Linked DNA regions of Solanum lycopersicum. The protein of the gene in region 1 interacts with the protein of each later gene in a pairwise test. Links are inferred from orthologs where the notes say so. Each region holds a gene or a part of one and is shown on either strand. Other genes may lie near its edges. The genes, in order: TSL-kinase interacting protein 1 and tousled-like protein.

Evidence for each region.
Region 2: the proteins of TSL-kinase interacting protein 1 (region 1) and tousled-like protein interact in binary tests that used the Arabidopsis thaliana proteins (3 or more experiments, as listed by UniProt). The link is inferred for Solanum lycopersicum from reciprocal best matches to the Arabidopsis thaliana genes TKI1 and TSL.

The regions. Positions count from the first base shown.
Region 1 is NC_090808.1:2,070,169-2,074,517, forward strand, and holds the start of TSL-kinase interacting protein 1, read right to left. Parts: upstream 2,882-4,349; 5' UTR 2,692-2,881; intron 1-2,691.
Region 2 is NC_090810.1:60,536,790-60,540,620, reverse strand, and holds part of tousled-like protein, read left to right. Parts: intron 1-1,243; coding exon 1,244-1,288; intron 1,289-2,081; coding exon 2,082-2,194; intron 2,195-3,650; coding exon 3,651-3,717; intron 3,718-3,831. UniProt on the Arabidopsis thaliana protein: Required for correct initiation of floral organ primordia and for proper development of organ primordia. Phosphorylates in vitro ASF1B/SGA1, the C-terminal part of TKI1 and histone H3.

The DNA.
Region 1 (4,349 bases):
TTTAATTTGCTCCCAAAACATTTAAAATATCTTTCCAATGCTCCACCCTACAAGTAGAGAAACAATTTTAGTGCACCAGTGATCTTCTATGACTACTTTGCATTTGCAACCTTTTCCCACAAAACGATCTTCTTAGTGGTTAAACCTCTATAGCCATTTCTATAGAAGACTTCTATTTTGAATCTTCATATGCATGATCCTTTCTTACAAATGCCTCATTTTTCAACTATCTTACCACTTCATCCCTTTTATCAAATGGTATTGATGTTTCCAGCTATTGACTTCTCCAACTTCCTTCTGATTTTGTCTAACTGCTTTCTGACCCTAGAGCACTAGCCAAATTATCTTTCCTCGAGACCTAAGAAGTTTTGGATCACTTCATATCTGAGGCTTATATGTCATTTGTTTTTTTCTAAGTAAGAATTGTTGATTAGAAGCACCTAAGAAGATTCTGCTATTTACATAGCAAGATTTGCAAAGGGACCGCATTCCCCTACATTTCATGAAAAGATTGCAGGAACCAATAGAGTAAAAGGCTCATTTAAGCATGCTCAAGTTCTGAAGCTAGATGAATTTAGGTTATACGCTACACTTCACTTAGCCAGCACCTAAGTGTAGGTATCAAGGCGCTAAGGGCTAAAGCATATGCATCATCACATGTGTCTCTATTCTAGGAGGGTGACAATGTGGAAAGAAAGGAAAACAAGATGTTCGAAGAGAAGTAGATGTTATATAGAAGATCAGATAGAAATGATCATGACTTCTAGTGTAACCTTTTTAAACGATATTTAGTTGTCATTCCATAAGTCCTATTCGCTCCTAGATTATTCGAGGAATGAATCTCAACAGGGTCTCATCTGCCCATCTTTGAATATGTAAGAAAGATATGCTGGCTTATGGCTTTTAAAGGGATCTCTACTTCCTTCTCAATACCCTCTAACGCTTGAAAAAGACTGTGAGACACCTCATTACCGATAAAATATAGAAGGAAAGAATGGTTATCTTAATACATGATTTTGGGGCAGGTGGCTTTTCTAAAGAAACTGTTTAGTGGCCGCTCTCTTCCCCATCATTTTGGGGAGTCTCTATTCGGGTTCTTGATTGTTCCGTTGTTCTCTCATTAATTGGTTATGGTTATTATTCCTCTCCGTTTGTATCTCTTTTACCAATTTCGTTCACAAGATTAAATGGAAATTCTCCTCCAAAGCCTCGATTCAATTGTTCAGAAAACAACAAACACAATTAGAAAATAAACTAATTGTTGAGGGAACATTATTTATGAATTTCCTACATTTTAGGACAAAATATTTAGCGATCAATACTAGTAATAGTAATTGAATTAGAAACTGGACTGCAATTCTGTGTCAAAATCAAAATTTTAAATTGGTTTTTGAACTTAATTTCAAGATCTTTACTTCACTAATTTCACTTAAATATAATTTAATTACATCTTTTAAGAAGCTTTAGGTACTTGATTTTTATGTTACTTTTAATGACGGCGATGTCTGATTAAGCATGTGTGCACCTCAAAATTCTACCAGCTACTTGTTTCCTCCCACCAGCACAAGAACCGACCATCTATGCAGTTGGGCCAATTGTCAGACATTGACATCTATGGAGGGATGAGTTGTTTGTCTCCTTATACTCACCTCATAAGCTAGCTTTTAAGGTTGATCACCGAACACGTGTTGGATGACACTGTGATCAATAAGGCTTTGAGCTTATCATAACTAATTCCTCTGTTAGGAACTTGTCATCTCAAGGATGCGATGACACTTTTCTGGCTATAAGTCATTAAGCATAAAATGGAAAATTCAAAACTAAATTGTTTCTAAAAATAAAAAAGTACCATTATATGGAACAAACTTAAAAAAAAAAAAAAAAAGTCACGCGCAATGGAACAAAGGGAGTAATTGCGTTCAGCCTTCCACGTTAGAAGATTGTAAAGTTACTATTCTTTAAGCGTCTTAATTCATTGCTCAAATAGACAAGTTTTCAATCCCACTAGACGTCATAACGGGATGTGTAGTGAGAGAATCCAAGGCAAAAGGTTTTTGGAGTTATTACTATAGTCCACACCTAATTCATGAGATTCAAAGGGGAATATCAAATAGCTATTACTTTCTCGTGCTCGGTTTTAAGAAAAACTAAAGCTCCACGACATTCTCATCCATATGTCATGCTTATAGTTCTCTAATTACACACTTCCCTAATACATTTTCGTCCAAAAACTAAAAGATTGGCAACATATTCAGTTTAACTTAATATTTTTTATGCTTACAATAGCTAGATTTATTGGTTCTTCCATTACATTGTTCTTTGTAGTCTTGGTTATATGATTATATCCATCAAAAATCAAGCAAATTTTATCATTAACACATCAGCTCATCAAACGGACAATAAATCAACACAAAAAAAAGATCTGAAGTACTAAAACTAACCAGATATGGTGCTTCAATTACTAAAATTGAATATAGAAAATGTCTAAAATCACCAATTTCGAATTTCTATGGACCACATACAAGCTTCCTGAGGAAGAATGCACTATATAATTCTATATCCATAGTAATCAGCAACATATAATCAAACTAAACCTCTTCAATCCAAATATTGAACAAATAAAACAAGAAAAATTAGAGAAAAATCGCGGAATTCAGGTCGGTTTCCGAGTACGGTAAGTTAGATAGTTACCGTGAATCAACCGGAGAAGAACACCATCGGAAATCCAAGCGGCAAGTCGGCACCGGCAGGAAGCAGCAGGTGGAAAGAGGAAAGTAGATTGGAATTACGAATGGATTCAATTGGTCAGAGAGGAAATTGAAAAGGAAAGGAAAAAGAGAGGAACAAAAAAAGTACAATATGAGGAAAATTACACATGAAAATCTCCCCTTCAATTGTGATTACGGTATTTTTATTAGGTCCGACTAATTCTAAATTCATGTCGAAGAATAAATACATTTATAAAATATTTTATAATTTATTGTATCATATTATATTATATTATTTTGATGATTATAATGTTACGAATAGATTGAATCTACTCCATTGTTTCATCGTGATATTTTTAATGATTATAATGTTTGAATAGATTGTATCGTATTCGATCATTTCATAATATTGCTCATATATAATTTAAGCAAAATTTGCTATGAGATAAAGTTACTATAAAAAATAAATAAAGGATAAAAATGAAATTATTAAATAATAACTGTTTTCTCAATCTAATTTTATGTGGAACCTATTTGACTTGGCATGGTGTATAAAATAAAGAAAACTTTTTAAAACTTGTAATTTAAAACAATCTATAAATATTTGTGTCACTGTGTGGTTGAAAAATATTTTATTAAAGGTAAAAGAATATTTTAAAGTTAAATTGTTTCTAATTAGAAAAGTAATATTTTTTTTTGGGATAGATTCAAAAGAAAAGGGTATCACATAAAATGAATCAGAGGTAATACTCGGATAACAACGTGATCATGGTGAAGATTGGGAATATCTCAATTCTCAACTATGAATAAGAAGTCGAAGAAGCCTTAGATCCGCCTCTTACTTGCCTACCTTTCCCTAGTCTGGACGAAGCGTTAGTAAGAATAGGAATTGTTAGATTTCCTGTATTGGAGAAAGAAGCTGAGTCAGGATAAAGGAATAGTTTCTACGCTTTTCTAAGATAATACAGATAAATAGTGAAGTTATCGCGCCTAAGGCGAAAGACTCTGTCCAATCATTCACAAATTAAACATTTTCGACGTATTATAACATATGATATGATAAATTTTAAATCAAAATCATACCAAATATTATATTTAAACGAACAATACAATAAAACAAATATCAATCTTTTGATATTGGAGATGTGATAGAAAAAATTGTTGAGTAGGTTGGAATATATTCTTGCAATATATATGGGATAATATGTCATATCCTTGTAATTTAATATGAATAAGTAATCTCATAATTAATTAATATCTCTAAATAACATGATAAAATAATTATGCATTTTATTTTGAGATTGTTATAACTTATCTCTCATATCTAATGATCCATGATAGTGTCTTATTTAGGGACTTTATATTTATTAGAAATGTAACGACCATTAAATTATTATCCTAATATTTTTATATAGAAATATTAGATTATATATCATTTTAAAATGGAAGATCAATAGACTTTTGGTGTATTAACACAACATTATTTTGATTATTACTTTAAGTTATGCATTTGCACGTGTATTTTATTTTAATGAATATTTGATTTTACTATTTTATTATGTTTGATATATTATTTTGATTTTAACGATAGTTAATAAAATTGATGATTAGTTTAAAAAATAAAATATGTTGATGGATATA
Region 2 (3,831 bases), on another chromosome or scaffold:
ATTATGTTTAGTAGGGGAACATAAAATTTGTTACTCTCTCTAGTCCACAGATTAAGAAACCAGTTAACAACATTAACTAAGAGGGTTATTTGACACCCTTTCCCTCTCCTCAACATAAGTTAAGAAGTATTAAAAGACCTTTTAGAAATTTTTTCAGATCATTTACTAGACAAGAGTAAAGTTGGAGAAAATATATACGTTTTTTTAAATCACCTATTTTGGACCAAGTTAGAAAGGCTAGAAAATCACTTACTTTGGACAGGAAAGAATAGCAATTTATCTCATAGTATGCCTCATTTTAAACTCTTAAAATTGTTCTTTATTTGAGTTACAGAAAAGCTTACTAGTCTGAATTTTATTTTGATTTCTAATCCTATATGGTAATTATAGAACATATGATGATAAACTGAATATGAATTCGGATAGAACAAATGTATAAATCGAGGATATTATTAGACACAAATGCTTATTTTATTTAAAATCAATCAACTAGAGGAGTGATTTTGACATTGGAAAACCTTAGGAAGCGAAAAGTTGTTTTTATTAGTTGGTGTTACTTATGCAAGGAGAGGGGTGAAGACGTGGATCATTTTCTCCTATATTGTAGCCTAGCCACGGTGTTATGATGGAATATTTTCAGATGGTTTAGTATTTTATGGGCAATGCCAAGATCTGTAAAGGAGCTGATGTTCAACTGGAAGAGAGGAAGAATGTCGAGAAGACACAAGGTGTGTAATGTAGCTCCACTAGCTTTGATGTGGGTTATTTGGAAGGAGAGAAACATGAGTCATTGAGGGAGTAGAGATGAGTTCTGCTCAGTTGAGGAGTATTCACCGTCCCTTGTGTTCTTTTAGTGCACCCATGTACTACCTGCTTGTATAGAAGCTCAGGTGTCTTTTTTACAGAACCATATCTTTTTGTAGGTTCTCTACTTTTTGGTATACCTCTTGTATATGGCCAATTTCAGTCTTTCATTCAATGAAACCTTATTTACTTGATCAAAATAAGATAAAATAAAACCAAACAAACATTCTAGATTTATGTTCAAAATTTTAAACTACTAAGCAAAAATCTGATTACAAATGCAAATAATTCAGAAATTATTATCTATTGAATTACAATCCCTAAATTATAATCTGTATATAACTTGTCTGTGAACCAAATGACCTGTTAGTTGATTTGTCTTTGAATAGAATTTTCAATTGCAACTGACCTTTCAGCATTGCATACTTAAATTATACAGGAGCTGAAGGATCTTAAAGATTACGAGCAGCAGACAAAGCCAAAGGTGTGCTTCATTGGTTATTTTACTTCTTTTCATTGGTCAAGTTCTGTTTCTGCCCTAGAAATAATCGGTAGTGTTTGTATATAGATTGGGAGGTTACCTTTGCGAACCGCATGACCAAATATTTGTGGCACTAACTAGCTACATTGGTGTGCTTGTCGCCAAATCAAATTTTTTTGTCAGCTCTGATTGGTACTATATTTGCTTAAGTCATATATCTTTCGAGTTATCATCATATGTCTGAATATGCTATGGAGGAATGTATCTGTTAATATGATTTACCTGATGGAGTAAACCTACAAAGTTGGTGTATTCAGCTTGACCACTTCAGCAGAACAGGCATTATTCAAACTAAAAACCAGAGTTTTCTACATTATGTAGAATTATGGAGTATCGAATAGGCTGTAGTACCAAAGCACTTTGCATATATATGGTATGCATGTACACACACACATTTCGGGCACAACCGTAGCTATTTCATTTTCCTGGCAAAATATTGTTTTCAAACTTAGCTTTGTTGTTTCTAAAATATTTCTTTTTGTTGGTCCATTTGTGGACATATTTACTATCTCATGCAAGTTGTGTGAACATCACTATTTGGCTATCCTGCCAAAATATTGCTGTCAAATTCTGCTTTAGTTAACTTACAATTTATTCTTAGCTGTGTCACATTGTGTCTGCAATAATCTCGTGTCAGCAAGCAGGTAAAAATACCAAGTTGATATAAAAAGGTTGATATTATACCTGTTTATTGGTATTCCCTCATGGAAATGGTTCATTCTTTTCATGTCTGCAGAGAACGAAAATAATGTCCGAGTTGCTAATATCTGTTTCAAAAGCTGAGAGACAAGAGGCTCGGATGAAAGTGCGCCAGGAATCATTGAGACTGGGCAATGTGGGAGTAATCAGGTACAGCATTCTTATCAAGGTGTTATTTATAGTGAGCATTTTGCTGCTTGGTCTAGTATATTAAGTAAGTTTAACAGATGAGAAGGCATCAGGAGTGTGAAAAGTAAGAAAAGGTGCAACGAGTTCCCATAATTGTGTGTTCGCAGTTTCCTCTGAGGATCTCTCTTAAGTCGGGATTTATTTACCTTTGTTATGGATAATCTAAATACTGAACATATTGTCAGCCCCAATTAACTTGGAAGTGAGGCTTTATTATTGTTCTTGTAATAATAGTATGGTGACGGATTCCATGGTGCATATTATTTCATATAGCATATTGTAATTGACACAACAAGAGAGTCAATCTATCTTCTGGACTCTGGATAAGCACTCTAGATAGTGAGGTTTCAGGATAAGTAGAAGTAACACAAGATATTGCACTGAATGTAGCTTCCATGAAGAGGAATAATGGTGAAGTGCATTTGCTGGGATTGTGATGTCTAAATGCAAAAGATTTAGATGCCTCAGATCAGTCTTGCAGTAAAATGGCATAATAGATTCAAGTGTACTAGATAGAAACACAGTTGGATGAATACTTTTTTGAGGAGATAAAACAAGGGAATCAAAGTAACATGGCTTAAATAGAAGTTTAATACACGAGTGATATCCAAAATGGGGTTAATGTTGGTCCCTAAGGTCCAACATAGATGAAAGTGTAAAATGTGAATGTTAAAATGGATGTACAAGATTTGAGGAATAATGGTGAAGTGAAATTTGATGGAATTGTGATGTCTAAATGCAAAAATTTTAGATACCTCAGTTCAGTCTTGCAAGAAAATGGCATAATAGATGCCAATGTACATAGAAACAAAAAAGGATGATTACTTATCAAAAGAATTCTGGTGTCTTATGTGATAGAAAGGTGACACTAAGGTAAGTTCTACAGAGCAGTAGTTAGACCAGCTTCGTTGTGCGGGGTGGAGTGTTGGTTAGTCAAGAACTCTCATGTCCAAAAGATGGAAGTTGCGGAAATGAGTATGCTAAGATAGATGTGTAGGGGCTTACTAGCAGAGATATAGCCAGAAATGAAGATATTCAGGTTAAGGTGGAAGTGGCCTCCATATGTCAAGAGGAGATGCATAGACGCCCCAGTGAGGATGTGTGAGAGGTCGACGTTGGAGGGTCTCAGGAGAGGTAGGGTAGGCTAAATAAATATTGGGGAGAGGTGATTAGGCAGAACATGACAAGCCTTAAGCTTACCGTGGACATGAGTCTTAATAGGAGAGTAATTGATTAATTGCTGGGATTTTGTTGGTGATAACTATGTAACAAGTATACTAATAGAACTCTAGATTATTAATAGGCCGTATGCCCATCCTCTAAGTATCAATTTATTTTTCGTGTTATCAAATATCATGATTTGAACCTATTTATTTTTGTGACTGCTGATCTTTTTCTGTTCTTTGGTTAATTGCAGAGCTGGAACCATTATATCTGAGGCCTGGGAAGATGGGCAAGCACTAAAGGACCTGAATGCTCAACTTGTATGTTCCGTATTTTGGTGGTCTGGCAAGGGACTGCTTGTTTTGCAGTTTCATTTTATGGATATATTAATATATCCATGCTGACAACTAACAGTCACTGCCTGTCCATTTAGC